2 linked regions of the Drosophila melanogaster genome follow. The protein of the gene in region 1 interacts with the protein of each later gene in a pairwise test. Each region holds a gene or a part of one and is shown on either strand. Other genes may lie near its edges.

Evidence for each region. The genes of interacting proteins can lie anywhere in the genome.
Region 2: the proteins of CG4313 (region 1) and CG13014 interact in a two-hybrid assay, tested with the Drosophila melanogaster proteins (one large-scale study listed by BioGRID).

Annotation. Positions count from the first base shown.
Region 1 is NC_004354.4:2,049,972-2,057,514, reverse strand, and holds CG4313 (uncharacterized protein), read right to left. Parts: upstream 4,832-7,543; 5' UTR 4,770-4,831; coding exon 4,210-4,769; intron 3,699-4,209; coding exon 3,075-3,698; intron 3,012-3,074; coding exon 2,570-3,011; 3' UTR 2,101-2,569; downstream 1-2,100. Other genes in the region: Sik2 (Salt-inducible kinase 2), read left to right, coding at 1-1,395, 1,490-1,597.
Region 2 is NC_004354.4:16,584,605-16,590,596, forward strand, and holds CG13014 (uncharacterized protein), read left to right. Parts: upstream 1-3,268; 5' UTR 3,269-3,503; coding exon 3,504-4,202; 3' UTR 4,203-4,326; downstream 4,327-5,992. Other genes in the region: SMC3 (structural maintenance of chromosomes 3), read right to left, coding at 4,736-4,948, 5,023-5,992.

The DNA.
Region 1 (7,543 bases):
GCCGGGAGCGCTGGTAGCTACTCCAAAAGTCTGAGCCAGAACCTGAGCCGCGGCTCGTCCAAGAGCAATTGCAGCGGTCCCTACGATAGCTTGGACTTTGCCTTGCCTTCTGGCAAGGGCAGTCTACCCTCGTGCATGGGCTCAAGTTCGATGCTGGCCACGCCCACTCCGGCCTCGGCATCGCCAGCGGGAATCTCATCGGAGCATTCATCGGAAAGATCGCTGTACGGGAGCCACAACTCCTGCATCCATATGCCAGGAGCTCTGCCGTTGGGCTTGGGCCTTCCTCAGAGTTCAGCCTCCACGCCCACGCCGAATCCTACGCCTCCGCCAAATGGCGGTGGTGTCACGTTCCTGGACAAGCGTTCACCCATACACTTTCGCGAAGGAAGACGGGCGAGTGATGGCCTGGTGGCCCAGGGCCTGCTTAGCTCTGGTTCCTTGCTGGGCACCAGTCGTGTGTACGGAAGTTATCGCTACGAGCAGGCCAAGCGTCACGGTTGGCTGGAGATCCAGCAGCTGCAGCAGCTGCAGCAGGAGGCGGCTGTGGGGCATTCACACCCACATGCCCATCAACATCCGCATCAGCATCCGCATCCTCATCCCCAAGCGTACGGCTTGGAAGAACTCTGTCAATTTCCAAATGGTCAATTCTATGCTCTGCCGGGCAAGCATCATCCGCTGCTGACTTTGCCCCATCATCATGCGCATCCTGCGCAGCATCACCATGGCCATCATTCGCTGTTCCATTCAGGCCACCAAGCCACACCTCTGCTCCTGGAAGCCGCTGCTGGTGGGGATATGTATGGTCATGGATGCTATGCTCCGCCACCGCCGCCACCAGGGCTATACACGCACCATCAGTTGGGCGTGGGTATGGCCGTGCCCATGTCCCCGATGCAAAAGCCACCGCTGCAGCAGCAGCTACTGCAGCACCGCCTGCTTCAGCAGAAGCGTCAGTTGTTCCAGAAGCAGTACGCACTGGAGGCGCAGCTAGCCGGTCGACATCACCACCATCAGCAGCACAGCCATCACCACCATCACCACTTTGGCCACAGCCTGGGTCCGCCACCGCCGCCGGCTCCGGCTCCGGAACATCACCTGGCCGACGAGTTGTACGAGTTGGCCTTGCTTGATCGGCCCAGGAGCGGAACTCCTAGGCTTCAGCACTCCATGACCATGCCCGGAGCTCATGCCTTCAGTCAGATGAACCTCAAGACTTCCTACATCAGCCAATCGGACCAGGTGCCTGGTGCGGCGCCTAATGGAGCTGGTTCCGGAGGATCAGCTGCTGGGGTATCATGCTCAGCTCCACCGTCCACGGCGCCGGGTACGCCCACGGTCAAGTGCAAGCCTACCACGCCCCACGGTCACAGCCTGGACTCCGACTATCATGTAAGTAAGCTAGATAACGCATATTAAGATGATTTCTCAGGCATCCCAAGTTCGTATATAAACCTTATCCGTTTTCTCCTTGTGTCCTCCGCAGACATCGACGCCGGTGCTCAGCCTTTTCACGCCCAATTGGCAGTCGCTGGTAAAGCCGCTCAGCGAGAGCCCCATCCTGGAGATATCGGAGCACCTTGAGTCAGTCTGAGGCCGTGTGTGATGTTATTCGGTGGAGGGGTTGGGGCAATTCGAATGGGAGTAGATTTGTAAGTGGAAGTCGGTGGGAAAGGAAAAGGGGTAGGACTGGACATCGAACTATAATGGGGGCTGGACCGGGACCGGGGCCACCTTTTTATTAAGCTCGCAATCGCAATTATGAATTATTTGATCCATATACGATATACACCCATACATACATATAAATAGCCTATATAGATATGAATGCGGGTCGGAATCGGAATCGGAGTTACATCGATTCACGTTTATTGGAACCGATAGAATCATTACCGAACCGGGCGAAGCAGTAATATTGAATGATTTAGTTGTGTTACTAGTCTTAAGTAGTCCAAGTTTCGTACGCATATACGCAGACATATACAATATGTATATTGATAATAATAGCGTTAAGCTATAGCTCTACTTATGATTACACTATACACTATTGTATTGCCCCCACGACAGTGGACGAGAACAACGTAACTACATATATCAATTATTCGAAGCATTTATTGGGGGCATAGAAAGGGCGTATCCATATAAGGATATATCTATTATGTATTGGTACAATAATTAGCGACAAGCAAAGAAAAAAAAAACAAAATTTAAACAAACATCGATTGTTCTTAAACATGGAATTCAAATGTAAACCAGATATTAAAGTCATTTGGTATAAAATGCAATATACTTCTGGAGTTCCTACATTATATAGATATAGATATAGATATATATGGGTGATCTGTGTTTTCGTGTGTGCGTGGAAGGGACGACCGGCCGGATCATGTGACTAGAAATCTTTTTTGGAGGCACTATAATCACCAGGGGATCAAGGAATTTTTTCTTACCGCAGATCATTCAACATGACATTTGGGTACTTCTCCCATCGTATTACTACCATATGGCACACATATATCATATCCCGCTAGGACGGAGGACGATGAAGGTGTTAAGGCATCTGTCGGAGTCACGTCGTGGCCTTCACCTGCCGATTGGACTCCAGGTGCTTTCGCTTTGCATTGGCCTGATTCCGCTGCTTCTGGGTATCTGGAGAGCCATGGCAGCGCAGCAAGTTCCAGTAAGCTCTTCGGTATTCGGAGCTCATCAACACGTAGATCAGCGGGTTGATGCAGGTGGTCAAGTAGATAAGTAGATAGCCAGCAATGTTGAACCAGTGCACCTCGGTGGCGCTTTTCCATATTTTGGCCACCGTGATGGGCAAATAACAAATTACAAACCACACGAAGATTACCAGTATCATCTTAAGCAATCTCCGGTCCTTGGCACTCATCCTTCCCGGGTAAATAGAGGATGCATTTGAGGTATTGCCCATGGAGGCGTAGTGGGATTTCCGCGGGCTAAACCGTGTGAAGGAGGTGGTGCGCAGGGATGTAGTGATAGGGTTCTTTCTGGAATGGATTTACGCATTAAGGTTGAGTGAAATGGCAAAGAAGCCTTCAACAGCTACTCACCCATGGGTTTTGCCCATCTCTAGTTGCGTTTGACTGCGTCCCAGGCTGACCTTTTCCTGATCCCGATCCCTTTCCTTCTCCCGCTCCTTGAGCACCACATTGGCATCAACAGGCGGTGGCTGCTGGTCCTGATCCCTCCTCCGTATGCTGTACGAGATCGGCAGACTGTCCGTCGAAGCATTGTCATCGATATACGCTAAGTTTTCCTCCACCACAAAGGGTCGTCCTGCGATCGGTTCGTTCGCCTCGCCGCTGGACGTGGTCACCTTCTCCGGCTTCTTTGGTGTGGCCATGGCTTGAATCTGATGCTGCGGCGCGGAGCTGGGAGTCACATCGCTGACATTGGTCTTGCCAGCGGTTCCCGCGCGAATGGCCGCCTTTCGCACCAGCAGGAAGATTCGGGCATAACAGATCACGATGCAGATGCACGGCACCATGAAGGCGGCGATGAAGAGGAACTCCTTGGGGGATCTACCATACCGATCATGCATGATGGAACACGAGCCGATGCTGACGTCCAAGCCAAAGATACCCCATACGCCCCGCCAGGTGGGTATCATTATGGAAAACGTGGTGATCCATGTGCCGGCTACCATCAAAGCCAAATATCGTCGCTGGTAAATTCTGGAAGAACGGATTTGAACCAGTGGGAATTGTATTTTGTACCATGTCTAATTTGATAATAATATATGCTCATTGTATTCAAATATATTATTTTAAGATATCCGTAGCTCACGAAAATAAAAACTAGCTAGTTATTTATTTCTCCAGAAATATTGTAGTTCATATTTTATAAGATATTAATTTCCGTTCAGTTTAATTGTTTATTACGAAAATATTGAGATCGCTGAACCGACCTTTTCTATAGCATTTGCCTCTAGCAAGTAATGTTCTCTTTTTTAGTTAATTAAAAAACATCTACGAGAAGCCATACATTTTCCTTTTTATAAACAAGTTCAAAAGTTTATAAGTTCAGAAACACAATAACATATGTGTGGGTTTTTTTCTCAGATTAAGTGGTAGGTTACCATGCGTATCATAATAAACAGATAAGCACCAAGAGGAAGAGTTGGGCACTCTGAATACCCTTCAAGATTTAGGCAGGACATGCCGATATGGGCAGGCCCATTCTCACCTTGGATACTGCCTGGGATGGGCGATAATGATGTACCGGTTGATGGTGATCAGCGACACGGAGAGCAGGGACACCGCCAGCAAGCCGTAGCGCAGCATCGGAAACAACCTGCACAGCAGATCACTATGGGTCCACGCCCGCTCCTTGAAAGTGGACGCGGCCAATGGCAGATTAAAGCAGCCAAAGAGTAGATCCGAGCAGGACAAATTGATTATGAATATGGCCGTGGAGTTGCGGGTTTGACGACCTCGCGACAGGGCCACTATGGTCAGTAAATTTCCGGGAACGCCCACAATGATGAACACTATGCAGGCCACCCAGGCGATGGTCAGCAGCTCGTCCGAATAGCCCTCGAAGAGCACCTGGCGCCTGTCGTCTACATTGAGATTAAGATTCATATTCAGATTGAGGTCCACGTCCACGTCCAGGTCCAGGCTGTCGGAAAGGGGTACCGGCAACACCGCGTCCTGATCCGCCATGTGATCAGTAGCATAGGGATCCGAAAGAGGCAGCGCTATCGAGATCGGATGCGGAGTTGGTCCGGATTTTGGTGGGAACATCGCGCGGCACTTTGTGTTCGGCAAAAGACGCGTTGCTCGTTCCTGCGCCGAATTTGTACTAAAACTGAATTCTCCGCATCCATACACCGACATGGTTCCCACCCAAAAAGTGGGCCCGAAGGCAGTCGCCGCCAGCCAAGCGTACAAAATATTGAGAAAAAAAAAAAAAACAGCAGGCGAACTAGAAAAACTTTCAAAAAGGAAAACAAAAGAATCTCAGAGCAGCAACAGCAGCAACAACACACATTTTTATTGTATACAACAATTGACTTCATCATCGGGTAATTTGGTAATTTGCGTGTGGAATGGGCGCTTTGTTTACATTGTTCCTATTCGGTGTTGTTTCTTAACCGCCCTTCCCGCCCCATTCCGCCCCAATCCACTCGACTCTTTCGCTCTTTCGTCGATATTCTGACGGGGTCATGTTGCTGTTGTTGCCGTTTTTCAAAGTTTCAGATACTAGACCAGGGATACCATTGCCCAAAATGGTTCGACGTTTTAGCTACATACTTGAGCATTCCGACAGCCAGAACATACATACTTGCATTAGACTAGTCTTTGCATCAGTCTGGTGGAATATAAGTCATGAGCAGCATGGGGAAAGTTATCTGCATTGCTAACACAATTCAAGACTTATCACTTGCAATGAAGTAAGAAGTTCCCCTCCTTAATTGATACCTTGACCGATACGTCTTGGATGCTTAAAAAATTCGGTGTGCCAGAGGTTACATGAATATATTGGGAATACAATGAATAAGCTCCTACAGATGAATCGAGTCTATTCGTAGCCCTGATTTCGGGCCATACGCACCTCTCCGGCATTTTTGAAATGAAAAACTTTTCGGTTCCTGGGTCGTGTGCATGTGTGTGTGTGTTTGTGTGTGTGGTTGCATAGTTTCCTCTGGCAATTTTCTGGATAATAAATGGGCGGCATCCATTCGAAGCGAGGAACTGAAAAAAAAAGCAAAACTTTTGCGAGAGGGACTCATTCGAATAAATATGCCTATAGATCGAATTTGTGCGTAGAATGAATACTCCAGTCATGGGCGATTAATCCTGAATCATAACTCGAGACTATGCGTTTTTCACGCTCTCATAACCCGTTTCGAATAATGAGTCAAACCCCGGAAGCCTGGTGTCACACGACGTCAGCGTACATATGTAGTCTTAATTAATCAAGCCAATATGCCGGGGGAAACCTCTCTACTTTTCCGAGGGTCAGAGTGCGGGTCGTCTGTTGGGTCGAATTGAGTATTGTTTGCCTTTTGAAAAGAAAAACAGGCGGTTCTAGGGAAAACTCTTTGGCAACGGCACGAATACGAATACGTTGTTTGTTTTCATGCAGGCCAATAGTCCGGGAATTGCAGCCGACTACCCAAGAAAATAACATTCAGTTCTTGAGGAAATTAATATAATTATAGCGCCATATCGCATTCACTTAAATGACGAGAAATTTTTAAGTTTAAGATCCTAGGAACTGGATGGAATACAATACGTGATAACGAAACATATGGCTCATCCTCGTACTTGCGAAAACATGCGTTTTCATAAAACAATACAAGGCTTTATCGAGCTTAATCTAAACGTATAATCCCATCATTTTTTAAGAAATTAAAAGTGCACTATCCTTGCGCCCACCACTGTACTTGGAAATGCCTGCGGGATGGGCATAAAAGTGGAAACTAAGACCTCCCCCCCCCCCCCACTCATCAACCATTCTTGATATGATTGTGAATACGATTCGAACGCCAATCGACGCCCGCTTCGGATTCGAATTCGGATCCAGAGATCCAGACTAATGTAAACTTCTCCGGCGTACTTACATATACGCCTATACGCATACGCACACGCACGGGCCCATGTTTAGATAGCCATAAACTATCGTGTTCTTCACACAATCCGCAGCAAACAACAAACAATGAGAGTGCGCACAAATCCCTACGTCTTCAGTTCGATATCTGCACCGAAAACATTTATTACCAGGTCACAGTTCCTAATGCGATATGTGCGGTAGCTCCAACCATCAGTTCCTTACCATGCGACAGACCGTTTTTCCCAGTGCAGCCATGTTGGATCGCCTCGATCGATGTCGAATGTCCAATTGTGTAAACATTAGAATGCAGACACATGAAGCCTTATCATTGCACATTTGCTTCAGTGGAGAGAGGAAGCAGAAGCGGCGTATCTGCGATATGCATCTGATCGATCGGCAACCATTGAGCGGCCTCCACCCACACCCGCCCCTCGGTCGGTCACCAGATGGCCGATGGCTGATCGCCGATCTCCGCCTCTCTGTCTGTCCCTGTCTGTCTTCTGCGCTGTCTCCGGCCGGCGGGCGAGAGTGCGGGAGTGCGAGCGAGCAAGAGAGCAGAAGAGAGCGCCAAGTCGTGGGGGCAGTAACAGGGGCGCGCCAAATGAGGGGAAACCTGACTAACATGGAGCGCAACTGACGTGCGTTCAGACGGAATATCTAACGAACGGAGTATACCCTCCCTCAATCAGTTCCCTACGCCACTGGCCGGCGGCGGAGAGTCATTTAGACACTAGTTGAGAGTGAGAGTAAAGAGTGAGAGGGGGCTGCCGATTGTCAACTGGCAATATCGCGACTCGCTCTACGCTGCCCGCACTCGACGAACTGCACTCGATCCGGCAGTTATAGACGATCCAATACGATCCGGCACGAGAACGCAGGCGCTACGCAATTTGTCCGTTACATTCAACCAGTACGGATAATAAACAACGAAAAGTAACTACGATTTCAGTTCGACTTGAGT
Region 2 (5,992 bases), about 15 Mb from region 1:
TTCTACTGAAAACGATCGATTGAAAAACACTGGCAAGCATTAATATTCAGTGGTCTAAACATTTAGGCTCTCATCTTCCTGGCATAAAACAATTTTCAGTTGGAGATTTGAACATTTTTCAAATAAAATTAAATATATTCAATATATAAACAATTTGCTGTCGCTCTAAATCAACTTTATGGGCTACTTTTGAAAAATTAGAAATTGAATGGACGCCATAAATATATTGCAGTTAATATTGGATTACCGTAGAATTTAACAGCGTATAATATCAACAGTTCAACTTCTTATGAAGCTCAAGTTATTTACTTTTGTTGGCTACCTTGCTTAAATTTCGTTGCGATTCAGATTAAAAGTATTAGAAATTCACGAATTTCTTGACGCATGAACGTGGTGTTATCAGCATTTGCTCTTTAATTACGAGGGGATGGAAATTCGGAATTCGAAATACGAAATACGAAATATGGAGTGGCGGAACGTCAATTGCGAATCGCTTCGATTGGAACGCCGATGGAGCAATTATTGGATGATTGCATTGGACGGACGCCCCGCAATTATTAATGAATTGCAGCAGTTTTCCCGGCAGCAGCTCGCCACTTGGCACCTTCTGGCCGCTTCTCGTGGGATTTCGGGCAGCTCGAGAGGAATGCAGGCAGGAATGCAGTGAACTTTTCCTTTATATTTATTTTGGGGAGGGTGGCTCGCGGGATGTTGGGGCAGCAAGGGGATCCTGGGGAATGGGGAATACGGAATAAGGAATAAGGAGCAAAAGTGACGAGATGAGCCAGGGACCTTGGGTCTAAGCTCTCGGAACGAAAACACGCGCACAGTGGAACCTTGTGGCATGTCCCTGGAGTTAAGAGCTCAGGAGTCGAAGGACAACAAAATACGCAAGGAGGCTACAGAGAGAAAGAGGCACAGAGGCAGCAAGAGAGAGCGAGAGAGATCTGGGAAACAAAAAGAGAGAGCGCCAAATTGGACAAACAAATTTCAAAGAAACGCACAGAAAGAAACACAGTTTTTATGAAACAAATTGATGTTTCATAGATAAATAGTTTCTTATCGTTTGGCATATAGAATATGCGATTAACTTTTCTGCTTAACTTTCCAATTTGATAGAGACAAAATATAATGGCCAAACGAGTTATTTGAGACTTTTTAATACCATTTATTTCAAATATATCATTTAACGAAATATGAAGCTAAAATGGTTGAAATACTTTAATTAATTATAATATATTTCTGACTGTGCATTCAACGTCGGCAGAGACTGCGCAGCAGCAGAGCTGGCAAAAAACAGTAAAAAAAAAGGAGAAAAAACAGAACAGAAACATACACATACACACACACACACACATTGAGAAAAGCGAAGGAAGAACCGTTATGTGCTGCTGCTACAGCATGAAAATTTCGTAGCTTTTGGTGTCCTGCCACTCACACACACTAGCACACAGACGCAGGACGAGGAGAGCCGTAATTTACGTGCGGCTCTCTTCGAGAAAATCTCTTGTTTGCACACACACACACACATAGGCACACACGAAAGTTTTCTTGTTGAATTTTACTGATATTTCCATTCCATCAGTTGCCTTTGGCAGCCTTTTTCGGTTATAATTATTCTTGTTTCACTTGTTCTTGCTGTTTTTTGCACACGAAAAAAATTTGTTTGTTGGGGATGTATGTACGTACAGCTTCAGCTGAAATTTCATCGCTTTTCATCACACACACCAAAGATGACTAATAAGAGAAAAAATGTTGCCTATGTATACATATATAATGTACACCCACACACACACATGTGCTGTGTGTATCATGTTATTTTACCCGTTGCACTCGCGTATTTTCGCTGTTGTTTTTCCTTCTTTTTTTTCGGGCCCAAAAATCGACAGGAAAATTAATTGAAACGGGCATGGGCGGACATTGACATTGCGCTTTTTTTTCCTCCTTTTTATTTCATATTTTGTATTTTTTTTGCCCGTTTAATGCAATTAATGTATGTATGCACACACAACAAAAAAAAACATTTCACGTCTTGGCCCGTTCTTATTGGAATATGTACACATACAGCTGTATGTATGCATATGTATATCGGTATATGTATATGCGCGCGTGTGGCTGGGCATGTGTGCGTGTGTTTGTTGGTGGTTTGAAACTGCTCCAAGCCTCCCATTTGCGTCTGTGTGCGTGCGTGTGTTGCACAATTGTATGGGGGCGGGGCGGTCGAGGATGTTGGGGGAGGGGTTCAGGGGGCAGGATGATGGAGGAGGATGAGAAGTAGAAAATAGCACGAGAAAAAAAACAGTGACTGCTTGCAATTTACCTTAACTTCGTTTTGCTTTTAGCTCGAAATTTTCACACTCGACGGTTTAAGCTTTTGTTTTTTCGCTATTCGCAATTCGTGTTAAACTTTTTACTTAATTTTTGTGTGTGTGTTGACGGAGCGCGTTCGAAATGCACACGGATATCTGATTTATACGGGAGATTAATAAAAAGTGCACGCGCGCAGCAGGGCAAATCGCAAATGTTGCACTCGATAACACGCTCGTTCGTTTTCCTTTCTTATAAGAAATCGATAGAGGCGTGATTTGTCTGGGCTTATCGAGGAGCGATTCCGATTGGACTGAATGCGGTGCGGTGTGACCGTTTCGCGGTGTATGGAAATATGAAAACTCTCAGTTGGATATAATATAATAGGGATGGAACAAAAAGCAACTAGCAGTTTTATTCAAATCGGATTGAAATTTTTAACAAATCAGTAATTTAAACCTAAAAACTTATAATATTGTAATTTAATTCGATGCAATAAAACACGACTTCTTAGGTTCGTAAATAATAAGAAAAAATGCACGGTTATATTGTTAACTGAAAATTACTTCCCTTTTCAAAAACCATAGCATACATTTTGCTGCATTGACATCAAAATAAGCCCATAAGAATATTTTTTCTTATTAGAAATTATACAATCTTAAAAACTTAAGTATTTTACTATATAATCCACTAGTATATAAAAATAACATCTGTATACGTTTTTGTCCACGTGAATGCTAGTTGATTAAATAAAAATGAAATGTTTGATCAACTATCTGTTGTAAACTTTTGTATTCTCCTTATGTAGAACTCGACCTATTACAAGTATGCTTTTACAAGAGGCATATTTATCCGGATGAACAGTCAAATTCAAAAAGGCATATTTCAAGGCTGTGTCCACACTTATACCGAATCCGTTATATTATCGAGGAATTTACGCTATCGATGAAAGAAACCACCTAAAAAATCCACGCTTATGTCGAAATACGATACTGATTTAATATTGACGTAAATCTTGTTATTGTTTTGATGCAACAAATATTTAATAAAGTTTAACTAAAGATCATTTATCCGCCGTTACATCGGCAACAAACTTGGTCGAGGAATCAAGTCGCCCGTCCGCAAACTGGACGGAAGATTTGCCACCTTGAGGTGGAATCACCGGCAACCGGCGTGATCGCTCTCAAGTCAAAACAATGGTGTCCAACAGAAGTCCTCCTCCGAATCATGGTCCCTTGCCGGGGTCCAGTGGTGGCACCTCCCTGCTAGCCCTGTGCCTGATCCACTTCGTCCTGGCCGTGATCTCCGGCTGGGGTCTGAAACGGAGCACCGGCAGCAAGGCGATGGCCGCCTTTGGGATCTACTTTGGCCACAGCCTGCTCTGCCTGCTGCGGCACACGCATCCCAATCCGGGCGCAGTGCAGCGTCTGCTGTGCGACAAGTCGAGACGTTACTCCTGCGTCCTATTTGTCACCCTGGTGGTGGGCGAGCTGCAGACCGTAAATCCGGCCACCCGAATGGGTGACTTCTTCGGCGCCGACTGGGAGCGTCTGGCCTTTGGACTGTGGAGCGCTGTACTGGCACTTGCAGTCACCAGCTTGTGGTTCGGCAACAGTCGCAGTCCACTGGGTGCCACATTCATAAAACTGGATGCCGCGCAATTGGGCCTCTGTGTTCTGTGGAATGTCCACTGTCTTTGGCGCATCGCCATCGTCGACGAGCACTGGTGGTCACTTGGCCTGGCCCTGCTTGTTCTGCTGAATCACTTTGTCCTGTGGCGACTGCCGCTGCACTACAACATCAGCCAATTGGAGGTGGCCACCGTGGGCATGTGCTTTAGCACCATCTTTGCGCTGAATGCCATCCAGGAGCAACTGGACGCTGTGGCCAGCTGAGAGTAGCTGGTCGGGCAACCAGGGACTGGAGCCTTGATTGCCAAGCTCTAAGACACCAACATTTAATTATAAGATGCACGTTGTTGAACAATTTTTTGAGTAATAAACCAGACTTCTTATTTCGAAACAATTATTGCATTGTTATCATACATACATAAAAGTGTGGAATTATATTGGATTAGACGGTTTCCTTTTGCATAAGCTTTTTAATACATATTTTCGTTTTAAATATAGTTTAAATTACTTCTCTATGCGCTTTATTACATATTGATCTGGGCTTGGAGTTTCTATACTCTCGGTTTTGTTCGCCGGCTCGAAGTGTTCCACGCAACGAGCACGGCCTAGCCGAAAACTAACTCTCATTGTTAAGGAAAATTAAATGTAGCAAGTATCGTTAGAAAGAAAACTATATATATATATATGTATACGATTTAAAAGAATGTGAAAACAAATCGTACGCCTACGAAACTAATAATTGGGGCGAGAGATGGTTGTGGTGGGTTGAGGGATGAGGTTTTGGGCGGGGCAATTTCCTAGGCGTGGGTGCTGTCGTCCTCGACGAAGTCCTTGGCCTCCTCCCTGGTCACACAATCAATGTGACTGACCTTATTTCGGAATCGCACGCCGTAGAACTTGTGCGCGTTCTCCAGCAATTCCGGCCGGAACGTTGTCGTAATGAACTGGGCAGTGTCGCTGAGCTCATGGATCATGTTCGCCACCGCCTTTCGATGCATTGCATCCAGCGCCTGCACAAAACATTAGTAGATCATTAGTCAATCAAATAAAGTAATGCGTAATTATAGGTAATGTGACGACTCACCTGATCTATCTCATCAAATAGGTAGAAGGGAGCTGGATCGCACTTTTGGATGGAGAAAATGAGGGCCAGGGCGACAAGCGACTTCTGTCCACCAGACAACTGGTTCATCTCACGCATCTCAGCCTCAACGCCGGTGAACGAAACCCGAATGCCGATCCCTGTGAAAGCATCGGAGTTTTCCACCTCCTTTTCCATTTCGTCGCCTTCGTTGTCCTTGGTCTTCAGGATGAGAAAGCCCGCGCCCATGGGCACCAGCTTCTTAAACACCTTGGTGAAGTTCTGCGCCACTTGTCGGAACGTAAATTGAATGGCCTCCACTTTTTGCATCTCCAATGACTGAATTAGCATGTGGATCTTCTGGTCACCGATGTCGAGCTCCTCTTTGCGGCGATAGAGCTTCTCCTTCTGCTCGGAGAAGCTCAAGAACTGATCCAGGGCTTTCTTGTTCACATGGTTATACTTCTTCAGGTGCTGGTTTGCCTTCTCCAGCTCTTTGAAGATGTTCTTCAGGGACATGCGTGTGTAGGAAGGATCAACTAGCGGCACGGCGCCCAAGCTGGCAATCTTTTCCGTACACTCATCGATTTTTTCGTTGAGCATGTTCTCCTTGGTCGACCATTTCTCCAGCTGCTTGGAATCCTTGTTAAGATTCTCCTCGGCCTCCTTCTCCTTACGCACATGCGTTTCGAGCTCCTGCTGCAGCTCCTTTTGCAGTTGCACAGCCTCCATTACCCGCTTTTCGATCTCCTCCAGATCGGAGTTGACCTTCTTGATTCTCTTTTCGGCGGAAACCAGTTCCGTTTTGCAATTGTTTAGCTTTCGCTTGCGGTCCTCCACGGAAATCTCCTGCAGCGCTTGGATCAGTTCGTCGCGACGCCGGAACAGATTGTTGATCAGCAGGTTGTCTAGCTTGTTCTTGCGCACCTCGAACTGCATACGCTGCGTAAACGCTTCCTTATTCTCCTGGTTC